Xenopus tropicalis: one gene and its partners. The protein of the gene in region 1 purifies or fractionates together with the protein of each later gene. This does not show direct contact. Links are inferred from orthologs where the notes say so. Each region holds a gene or a part of one and is shown on either strand. Other genes may lie near its edges.

Region 1 (3,514 bases):
CAAATAAAATATCCAATTAATTTCTATTGGTTTTTGTTTCTTAAGAAAAACTATTTCTAATACAGGTTCAGGATCTATTATCTGGAATGCTTGGGACCTGGGGTTTTCCAGATAAGGGATCTTTAAATAATTCGAATTGCCATTTTGTCTCAATCAAATGTTGATTGACCGGACCAAAGTTTTTGTTTGGGGCACGACACAATAATAATGATTTCTTATTTAGAAATAGAGTACATTCATAAAAAGTTAATGGATCTGTCATCAGCTCAAACAAACCTGTGTTTGTGTTTCAGGAATTTGGTGTTGTTTCAAACACAAGATTAATCTCTGCTGCTACCTCTGTGTGTGAGTATTTAATAAGCAAACCTGATCAGAATATTTGGAACTATGATGATTTTGAATTTTATCCTTATTTGTCAATATATAAAATATACTTGTGTGCTGTTCACCACAGACAAGGAATATAATGTTAGAAAGCTGAGAAGACTTTAATGTAGTTGGAATCCTGTATTTCTTTTTCTGCACAGTGCTGTTGGAAATATTGGTATCTCACACATATAATAATTTGTAAATCGTAAAAAGGAACAGGATTTTAAAAATGTACTATTGGGAATAAAAGAAGTATAAAAGTATTTCAGAATATTCTACATTTAAAAGAAAAAATGGTTAAGGTTTGTCTCTGTATGCAAAAGGTTTTGGCTTGTTAGTGTGGCTATAGTCTCATGATCCTTATTTTTCCCTTTATTTGCTTGTGACCGTGACATGTACTGTTTATTAGTTGTGGCTCTAAAGGCAGTGTATACAGTTTTACTAGAAAAACTATTGCTTTGTGAGGCTACAATTTTACCAAATATCTTTCTATTTAGGCCTTCTCCTATTCATTTCCCCATCTCTCATTCAAACCAGCTACAGTAAACTGGACCCTAGCTGCCAGGTAGCTTCTGAAATTCCAAACTGGAAAGCTACTAAACAAAAAGTGAAATCATTCAAAAACTATACAAATGAAAAACAATTGCAAATTTGCAGTTTCACAGTCCTATATAGAATTACATGTTAATTTAATGGTGAACTATCCCTTGAACAGTTTTGTTCAAGTGAACATAAAACCACTTTGTGAATTACTTTTGTGTAATTTTTACCTAGCCTGTGAAAGGAGCATGCATGCCTTTTGCCTAAGGTATAATTTTTACAGTGACTTTAAAATGTTTTGTTTACAAAGGAATAAAGCGAGTAGAATTCAGACTGACGACCCTTTCTTCTTCATATGCTGAATAAATATAGTTGTGCAGGAGTGCTTGGTATATTTCTAAACCATATAACATTGCTTCCAATTCTAGTATACAGGTGACAGAATGTGTTTTCTCGTTTAATGTTATTACTGTATTCCTAAGCAACAGAAATGAATTTGTGTCAACACAGATGTAGTAAAGGAATGTTTCTTTGCTTAGTATTGCTCTGTTTTGTAGCTTGCCATCAAGGCATGTACTTAAGAGAGAGAATATAAAGATAGAAATGTTTGTTTCATACCATACTGTATTTCCAGGGGACTGTGCTATTAAGTAGAACGGACTGTAGTTTTGTAATAACGTGACCTTCCATTAGGCACACCTCCCATTTTCATCACTATTTTATTTATTTTAACTCTGTTCTTTCCTTTCCTGATCGACGTGGCAGGTTGATAAAACAAAGCACTCTGGAGGAAAGGACCTCAGACCAGTTCTTTTTCTAAAGAAGAGATTGTCAGTGTGTTTCTTTAAAGGGAACCTATCATGCAAGGTTCCCTAGGTGTGGCTGATAGAAACCGCACTCTGACTGGGGAAAACAATAGTGTTTTGTAAAGATGTCATACATGTGCCCCAACATGGCCTCTGGGAGCTTTTTCCTTGTGCAAGTGGCATAGCCCTTCTGAGGGCTCTGGCACACGGGGGAGATTAGTTGCCCGCGACAAAACTCCCTGTTAGTTGCCTTCCCCCTGCCATCCCACCGGCGAACATGTAAGTCGCCGGCGGGATGGCAGACGCGGTGGGGCGATTTCGCGCAAATCGCCCCGCCTCGTCTGCCATCCCGCCGGCGACTTACATGTTCGCCGGTGGGATGGCAGGGGGAAGGCAACTCGGGGAGATTAGTTGCCCGCGAACAGGGAGTTTTGCCACGGGCGACTAATCTCCCCGTGTGCCAGAGCCCTGAAAGGGGTTTTGTTTATAAAGACTACAGTTTCCCGAACCAGTGTGCAGACTCTATTAGCATTTTTGCATGATAGGCATGACCTGGTGGCCTTATTTTCCTTATGCCTGACGAAGGGGTATGCCCCCGAAATGTTGCTACACTTTGAATAAACACGCAGGGGCTAAGCCCCGCTTGCATCATACTTGTCGTGCCATTCACCTTTTTTCTCTTATTTCCAGAGTGCCATTCACCTGCTCCTAGGTATCCCTTGCACCAGTTCCTGCTGGGTGCATACACGATATGATAAGCTCCAAGGAATGTTCTGTGGTGTACAAGGGATACCTGTGAGTGAGGGGGAAATGGTGGCATAGATTTTTGGGACAGCTTTTTTTTCTAAAAAGTATAAGCACTGCCATGTTCAAAAAAAAAAATATATTTTGGTAATTATAAGGTAGCTAACAAATAGTTTGATTTTCCCTGTCCTTTAACACTATCAGTATTCATTTTTATTTTGTTCCTCTTTTGTTTCCCACAGTAAAAACTAGGTTTTCATATGCATTTCCAAAGGAATTTCCTTACAGAATGAACCATGTAAGTAACAGACATGGCTTATTTTATTACTGAAATGACTGTAATAAATGTACAGTGCTGTAAATTACCATGTGCTGCTTTGTAGTGTCTAAATAGTCTGTTTAAAATGAAGTTAAGTAACTGTCAAATGTGGGTGTGAAACACATCATAATGTGGTGTTAGATTTATGGTGTGGTTTTTACAAGGAACCTAAAACATGCAAAATGAGCAGTGTATGTCCAAATAAAATTATATTGGAAACTATCAAAGCTCTAGTTATTGATGTATCAGGGCTGTGTAATAGCTTCACCATTTACTGTATTCACAGACTATCATACAAAAAGGTGTAGTTCAGCCATTGTAGTGAATAATTGTTAATTTGACTTGGTGGATTTTTTTTTTTTTTAAATTACCTTCAGAGGTTTTTTTTGTTTTTTTTTTTAAATTCTATGAATTGTGTATTGTGATGTATTAATTGAATTTAATTTGTCACTGCTACAATATATAATTAATATATATAATTCAGTATTTAGCTTTAGTACTAATAAGGTTCATGCATCAAATGTTTTACTGTAGGCTATTGACAGATGGGAGACTTTCACACACCGCTTAAGCAACACGTGAAAGTCCTGGAGGTTGCCTGCAGTGTTTGTTGCAGCGAGCTGGGCAAGTGTCAGCTGAGTACATTTGCCTGGGAATGCTGCAGGCTTTGCTTTACTGAATAACACTTGTTGCAGATCAGCTCCTGTGATACTTGTTAGTTCAGCCAGTTGCTTTG
Region 2 (4,016 bases), about 4.8 Mb from region 1:
GGCAAAAAGGGGTCCCGGGCTAGGGGGTATGGTGGGGGAAGGGACTGCAACTGGTGTAGGGGCAAGGGAATGCAGTGGGGGTGCTGACTTCCACTGTGGGGGCCTGTGTGTGGCCCGCCTAGCCTTATCACTGGCTGGGGGCTTTTGTCTTTGAGAAGCATTGGTGGCAGTGGCTGTGACCGCCATAGGTGCCTGGGCCGCAGTCCTGACCTCTGCACGCTGCCTCCTCGAGACTACAGTCGGGGGTTGGGAGGCAGCGGCAGAGGACGTGCGCCTGGATGCGCGTGGGGGACTGGGGCTCAGGCGAGAGGGAGGGCGGGAGCGGCGAGCCGGCCGCTTCCCAGCACTGCCGGCTGCCTGTCCCCCCTGTCTCTGTTCAGTGCTGATGGGGCCAAGTAGCTGTTGTAGCCAGTCGGCTCCATCAGAAGCAATTTTTGCCTGCACCTGCTCCAGTAGTTCCTCGCTCATGCTGGGGTCTGGTGGGGGCTGATGGACACAGGCAGCAGCAGCAGTTGGAGCAGCTAGGATGCCGCTTGGTGGAATCCAGAAGCAGAGTGGCAGCAGCAGCACGGGAATGCAGGCACAGAGGAGGGAGGAGGAGCGAGCAAGGGGGGGCTGCCCTTTCCTGACTGCACTAGCTGGTGAGTTAACCCCTTACAAGCACGGAGGGAACTGGGCCACAGCTGGCTCCACAGTCCCTCCGCGCTTTCATTATTTATTTCAGTGCTCTCTATTCTAGTTGGCAAAGTTTGCAGTGTCATCTATTAGTACTGGCCAGCATTAGGCATGGTTGAATTCCCTGCTACCTGAACAAGGCATTTTTTGCCATGTATTTTAGTTCTATGGATAATGTCTGACTAGTACACTGAAAAAAACACTATTTCAAAGATAAATGTGTTTATAATTGATTGTGTGATTTGGCGCGCATTTATTAACATGAAGGCACTGCATCGCCAGCAATGAAGTAATGAATGAAGTGATAGGCTTTCCCCCTGCCAGTTGTTTGTGCCCAGGAACCCTCCGCTCAGAGTACAGGCCCGGTAAGAAGTGACGCCTCTCAGGCGGGCAGCTTCCACAATTTGGCAGCACCACGGCAGAGCGGGCAGCTGCTGGAAGTGAAATTGAAAGTAAAGATAGAGGGCGCTCTTCCCGCTAAAGTACATGGCATGCGTCTATGTGCAAAGAAGAAGAAAAACAAGGAAATGGTGGAGGGAGAGCCTGGCACTTATTCCATGTAACGACCGGCAGTAGCCAACGGACAGCAAAGGGTTGGGGCGATAGCTGAGCCTTGATGGGTTAAATACGCCCTCGCTCCAGCCGTGGAGGAGGATGGATTACGAATTTAAGAGCAAGCTGTCCGCCGAGCGGGAGAAAGTGGAGGAGCTGTTTGAATATGAAGGTTGCAAAGTGGGTCGAGGCACCTACGGGCATGTTTACAAAGCTAAGAGGAAAGATGGGTAAGAGGCACTAAAGGGAGGGGCGTGTGGGAGGGAGGTGTGTGTTAGGTCACTGTTCATACCTGTGTGCGGACCACCTAGAGCATCGCGCAGTCCTGTGCTTGAGCAGCAAACGCACCTCTCTAGGTGCACACATACCTGCGTGGGTTCCGTACAGTAGAATGCATGTGCTTGCTGCTATTGTGTCTATGAGGTAATTATTGTGTTCACTCATGTCTGTCACAGCCTTGTGTTTGTTATACCAGCAGCACTGCATATACACGTAACCCCCGGACAACGAGGAAAGCCGGAGATGCTGCATTTCTTGTCATGTTAGGAAGTTATTGATGGGGATATTGTGCTAGTTATGTGCTGTTACTGTGTATTTGTAGCTCCCTCCTCCTCCTCTGCACACGCCCGGGATGCTGAACTTGTGCTGGGGGAGGAGGGGGAGGGAGTCTGAGCTACAAATGTTTATGTTGGGGTAATCCAGCCTTGTGGTCCCACCTACTCCGCTGTTCCTCCTCTTCAGTGTTTGCCATAGCACCATGTGTCAATATTTTCTCCCTCGTCTTGCAGATTACCCATTTCTATGGCATTTTCCCTCTCTTTAAAGAGCCAGTCCTGATCAGTAAGGATGCCAGCCCTTTACTGAGGAGACAGTTACCCGCTGGGATTCGTGAAGGGCAGCGGTAGGGCCACAAGTTGAACATCACTGGAGGCTGAGCTGTGTGTATGAAAAGGGCAATTACACATGATATGAAGTGACTGCTTATACTTCAGGCTTAACTAAGGAATAAATAAATGCGTTGTTCTCTAAACTCAGCATAGTAAGACTTTTAATAAAGTTGAAATGATGCTTTGCTTGATTTCATTCAGGTTAAAACATTTGTGATGGCACCTATGTGATTTTTCTGGGATATTTGCTAAATAAACACACGTTCTTTAAAACATTGGCATGTTTGTGTATGTGCAAGATTTTATAATCGCCTCCATGTTTGATGTTTTAGTTGCAGTCTTATACTAATGGCTGTAAGAACTTTGAATTATTTATCAGACAGACATTATTTAGCCCATCTAGCATGAAGTTTTTTTTTAATTCTCAGGACTAAGAATCAATAAAAAAAGCTTTTAAAAAGATGCAATCCTTTGTCAACCCTTTTTTTTTTTAACTCTTGGTTCTGGCCCTTTAGTTATCCTCCAGGGAAGGTGCTAATTCTCACAGTGCTTTGCTCACTTCTTCATAGGTAGAACTACTGGTTTAATGGTGGGTTGCTGGACTGGCAATTTGTACATTCTGCTTAACACCAGAGGGACTGTAAGATGCCCATAGACAGTCACTATTGGGCCTGTGGGTGGCTGTTTGGGCGTCTTAAGTACTTGAAATGCCAGGGTCTGTTTTGTCTTGCAGCCCATACCTGGGCCAGGTTTAGGCTAAATAATACAGATTGGGGACTTATAAGGTATTATATTAGGTTAAAAAAATCCATTAGTTCTGTAGCAGTGACATCACATTACATTGCAAATAGTGCATTGTCTGTTTCTTTTTCTACTGTTTTTTTTCCACAAGAAAAAAATATTCCCCTTTCTGTACCTGTGCACCCTCCATATTATTTCTGTGTTTTTGCTGGAACATTTTGTACAATTCCATGTCCCATTGTTTAACTCACATCCTGCATTAGATTTCCAGCCCATGCATAAATGTCACTCTTTGTATAATGAGTAAGCTTAAATGTTTTCCTGTAACTATTCATTTTTAATTATTATTAATTATTTTATTCTCTGCCCCCTTAGCTAAAGGTAAATGTTCAAAGATTATAACTAGTCAAACTCTTCTGTCTTTACTTTTCTCATTCCCACTGGTGATGGTTTGGAGGCGAGGATCATCTCTCAGGGGCAACTTGGGGCAATTTGATACTCAATGTAAGCTTGTAGTTCCTTGCCTCTTGTACATGCCTTAACATCTAATAGCCCATTTGCTGAGATGCTCACTGAGACAACTTGTGACCATCATAAATAACCCTGCTTATTTTTAAATCTAAGTAATGTAATATTTAGATATTCTTGAAGAATTCCCCAAGTACAGAAATACTTAGTAATAAATTATCTGTTCCACTGTCCTGTCCTTTGTTTACCTCCCATGAATCCTTGTCAATTCTTTGTTTAGTAGTAGTTGGGCAGGTTTGTGGTACATTACCATTAGGGCCATGACAGACGGGGAGATAAGTTGCTGCACGACAAATCTCCCTTGTCGCGGGCGACTAATCTCCCCGATATGCCATCCCACCAGTTAGGGTGACTAATCTTCCGGTCTGTCATGACCTTTAATTACATAAAAAATGGCCCTCGAGCCAATAAAATCTCTTAAAAAACTGGGACCCATGTAACTTTTGGTTACTCTGCTATGTTTGTGTAAACTGTCTGCTGGCTCTTACCTTTGCTAGTATATTTAAATTGTCACGTTGGTGACTAATACATCATTTTCTAATCTTGTAATCTTATCTGTAGCACTTCCTTTCATTGGAGGATGTTTTGAAATATTTTATTTGCTTGTAGAACTGTTCACTTCCTTCTTTGCAC
Region 3 (4,132 bases), on another chromosome or scaffold:
CATCTGTAGCCCCAGCTACTCACCCATCTGTAGCCCCAGCTACTCCCCCATCTGTAGCCCCAGCTACTCCCCCATCTGTAGCCCCAGCTACTCCCCCATCTGTAGCCCCAGCTACTCCCTCATCTGTAGCCCCAGCTACTCACCCATCTGTAGCCCCAGCTACTCACCCATCTGTAGCCCCAGCTACTCATCCATCTGTAGCCCCAGCTACTCCCCCATCTGTAGCCCCAGCTACTCCCCCATCTGTAGCCCCAGCTACTCCCCCTTCTGTAGCCCCAGCTACTCACCGATCTGTAGCCCCAGCTACTCACCCATCTGTAGCCCCAGCTACTCACCCATCTGTAGCCCCAGCTACGGCCCAGACTGGCAATCAGTGGGTTCTAGTAAATGCCTCAGGGGCTGCTGTAGGATGCCATGGACAGTCGCTATTTATTGGGCTGGTGGGGGGGCTGTTTGGGCCTCTGTGTACTGGAAATGCCAGGGCCTATTTTGTATCCCAGTCCAGACCTGCCCCTGGCTCTGCTGTATGGCCAGGGCTCAATTTTAGGGCTATGCCACCCTGAACACCCCCACAATATGGCAATTGGTGCATACAGTTTCCACACCAGAAGTGCTGTTAGCTGTCTATTTTTTGGGAACAAAAGTATATAGAGCACAGAGCCCAGGGCAGCTGTCCCTTATCCGCCACCTTATAACGACAGCTCTGGCCATGGATACAGTAGGGTTATTGGTCAATAAATGGAGGGGAGTATTTATTAACGCTGGAAACAAAAATCACCACTGATGTTGCCCATAAAAATCAAGAGTTTTACTCTTGTTTTCTAACTTTTATGACTCTTCAAATCTAATGCTGATTGGTTGCTATGGGCAACATCACCAGCGACATATGTTTCTAATGCTAATGTCTATAATCGCCAAAGGGGCTAGAAGCAGTAACCACACTAGTACAGAAGAATAGATTAATAACAGGGGGTTATTAAGATAATAATAGATAAATACAAAGTATAACAATAAATACAAATAAATACAAGATACAGTTGCAATAATTTAAGAGTCAAAGACACAAGAGGATGGAGGTCCCTGCCCCGTAGAGCTTACAATCTATATGGACTAGTCACAACGTATCCCATAATGCAACGGTGTTTTTGAAGTGACAAGGGCTGCTTGTTATAGTGCCCCATGCAATAGGGCGCCTCAATGAATCACTTCCATCACCAAACACCATATACAATGAAACCTTTTGTCAATAACTTAGCGCAGCCGAACGGGCCCTTATCTATGACGTCGCGCAAGCCGCGGTCGCGCCAGTGACATCATTACGAAACCGCCGTATTCAGCTACAGGCCGCGACGCACAGCTTGTGACGCAGTATTTGTGCTGCCGGTGAAGCCAGCGATAGTAACATGGCTACCGGCGGCAATGTGAGACCGGCTGAGGAGCCGGAGGAGGAAGAAGAGGAGGATGAAGCTGCCGAAGAGGAGGAGGAAGAGGAGTATACCTTCCTACCGCTGGTGCACGACATCATTAAATGGTACAGTTAGTTTGGGGGTCATTGTAACTGAAACACTGCCCCGCTACTGAGCTGTTTCAGCAGTCGGAACCAGCAGTGTTTGTGTATCATGGGAAGTTGCCTGGAATGTCATTTTGCTTTAGTATGTAGCATAAATGTATTTGTATTTACTGTCATTTAGTTGGACACCACTTGCAGGTACTTTTATTGCATTCCCTTTGCAGCCAGTAGCATTCTGTGTCCCTTTGGCCCCATACAGGTAACATTGGAGACAAACATCACTGGGGATGGTGCCCATGATTGGTTAGGTTGGCTTCCAATGTTAATAAATACACCCCTTTATATCTGCAGGGCTTATTTACACTTGATTGTGGTTTGGAATACCTGTTGGTGGGTTAAAGAAGAAGGAAAGGGGGAATTATTGGGGGGTAAAATGTTAGCGCCCCGCCCAAGTGACTAAGATCACTTACCTGATACCCCGGGCTGGTGCTCCTGTTAAGCTTTATCAGAAAGGTCTATGTAAATACAGCCATAAGCACTCACACAAACGCTGCACTGAGTCCTCTATCAAAAGAAACAGGGTTTGTTGTCTTTGTTTTCCTGTGCCAGAGTCTGTGCAGCTTTCTCCTCTCTCCTGTCCCCCCCCTCAAGAATGCTAAGAACTCCCCCCCCCCCCTTAGGAATGTTTGATCTGAGCCAATCAGCAGGAAGCTGACTCATAGTCTAACTAACTGAGCATGTACACCAGTCTTGGTCTTGGTGCAGGAGCGAGGCTTTATGGGAATTTTCTTTAAAGAACTCAGCCTTTTTTTTTGTCCTATGAGGCTTCTGATCATCTGAACAGGAGAAATATGGGGAGACTTAAGGGCACTATTGAGAGAACTGAGGGTATGCCTGCAGCTTGAGATTAACTCTCTATTAGCCTTTCCTTCTCCTTTAAGTTGCTGCTGTGAAGAGTAGACCACTCTTGCCCCAATGGAAACACTTTATGTGATTTTTCCTTTACAGAATCGCACTTTCCATCTCATTAGCGGTGGCCGTTTTGGGTCCACTGCCAAGGACACAGGAAGTACTAATGTGCACTTACCTCCTGTTTCTTCTACCAAGCATATATGCATTTGCTGAGAAAACAAGAGTTTTTGACCTGCTTCTGCCCTGAACCCACGCAAGCCCAGGCTGACCCATTGTGTTAACATGTCTTATAAACCCATGCCCTACCTGCCCACTTTTGATGTTGCCAGAGGGGGGTGGGTTAGAGGCAAGTTTATAAAAGAAAGTGGCCAGGAAGAGTCAGATGTAGCTGAGCTGGGTCGTCATAATGATAAGGGTGGAAGGAGCTGGGCCAGGAAGTGATGTCACACTGGGTAAAACGGGTAAAGCCGCAGGGTATGTGTGGGCCGTGCATCACGTGCTAAGCCCAAGCCTGCAAATGGCAAATTTCTCCCAACCCACAGCCTCAAATAATCAATGTAATATTGCTAAAGGATGAACTGTATATGACAGAAACTGCTGAATTTGCATTATGGGGGATACAGCTGGATCAGAGCCAGTAGGTGTCCTTCATTCAGAAATGGCAGCGTGTAGTCTGTGCAGCAGTGCAGCCGTCGGCAGGAGACTACAGCTCTCATAATGGGAAATCTAAAGGCAGAGAGGATTGTACCAGTTCCATTAAGGCGGGGGTGTCAGGCTCTAGTCTGTCCAGCAGATATGAACTACAATTCCTGCATTCTTAATGTTTGTTTGGGAGCAGTGCTGTGCAACTTGTACTGCATAACTTTCCTGCTATGTGGGACAACAATCACACACAGGGTATGGATTATATTGATATTATGGCATGATACAAAGAAGGCAGTGGAGCCTTTGCCTAGGCTGGGGGCTTTAAGTACTTATTGGAGGGCCCCACCTGACCCACAGGCCATTTAGTTGCCCGAATCTTCCCTAGTAACGCTTTATAGTACATTATGCATATATAGATAATTTGTGTTTACTATAGGAGCCCCTTTAATGAAAGCAGGGCTGACCAACTGGAGCCTCTGGGATAAATGTGGCTTTTCACGTTTTAGGGCTTAGTGGCTGCTTATACTCGTCCGTATGATCTCCTCATTTCAATATTTATCCAACCCTCAGACATGATATGACTACTAAGCAGCTGACTACATAGGAATCCAGTAAGCCCTGCCAAGTTTCATTTGTTAATGTGACTTGATAATCGCAGGACAGGGATGTTACTGTGCCTTTAAATCCTAACCTTTGGCTAATTTTATGTGCCAAAAGTTGGACCCAATTCTTTCCCCCTATTACTGACTTGTGTTGGTCAGCGACATATATTTATGGCCGATAAAAGCTGCCACCCAGTGTGGTGGGCCCAGATCTGCTCGTTTGGTGACCCCACCGAATGAGAGGATCTGGCTGTGTATGGCCACCTTTAGAATTGACGTTGGGCTTGAAGGCTGAGCAAAGTTCTGATAGGCTGGAGGTAGAATCCTGCGAGCCTGGGAAACTGCTGGTTAGTTTACTGGTAGCAAGTAGGGCTTGTACATAAGGTTATGGGTGCTGCTTGGGGGACATGGGTGTCAGTATAAGGCGTGTCTGGGCAATGATTATGATAGGAGGTTGGGGTTG

What was found. The genes of interacting proteins can lie anywhere in the genome.
Region 2: the proteins of ccnc (region 1) and cdk19 purify together in Homo sapiens (affinity purification with mass spectrometry; 8 studies listed by BioGRID and IntAct, counting the BioPlex papers as one, with this or other methods). This does not show direct contact. The link is inferred for Xenopus tropicalis from reciprocal best matches to the Homo sapiens genes CCNC and CDK19.
Region 3: the proteins of ccnc (region 1) and med9 purify together in Homo sapiens (affinity purification with mass spectrometry; 4 studies listed by BioGRID and IntAct, counting the BioPlex papers as one, with this or other methods). This does not show direct contact. The link is inferred for Xenopus tropicalis from reciprocal best matches to the Homo sapiens genes CCNC and MED9.

What each region holds. Positions count from the first base shown.
Region 1 is NC_030681.2:82,034,705-82,038,218, forward strand, and holds part of ccnc (cyclin-C), read left to right. Parts: intron 1-293; coding exon 294-345; intron 346-2,701; coding exon 2,702-2,757; intron 2,758-3,514. UniProt on the Homo sapiens protein: Component of the Mediator complex, a coactivator involved in regulated gene transcription of nearly all RNA polymerase II-dependent genes.
Region 2 is NC_030681.2:77,212,247-77,216,262, forward strand, and holds the start of cdk19 (cyclin-dependent kinase 19), read left to right. Parts: upstream 1-1,205; 5' UTR 1,206-1,329; coding exon 1,330-1,457; intron 1,458-1,469; exon of another isoform or gene 1,470-1,650; intron 1,651-2,015; exon of another isoform or gene 2,016-2,389; intron 2,390-4,016.
Region 3 is NC_030685.2:15,709,641-15,713,772, reverse strand, and holds the start of med9 (mediator of RNA polymerase II transcription subunit 9), read left to right. Parts: upstream 1-1,321; 5' UTR 1,322-1,403; coding exon 1,404-1,531; intron 1,532-4,132.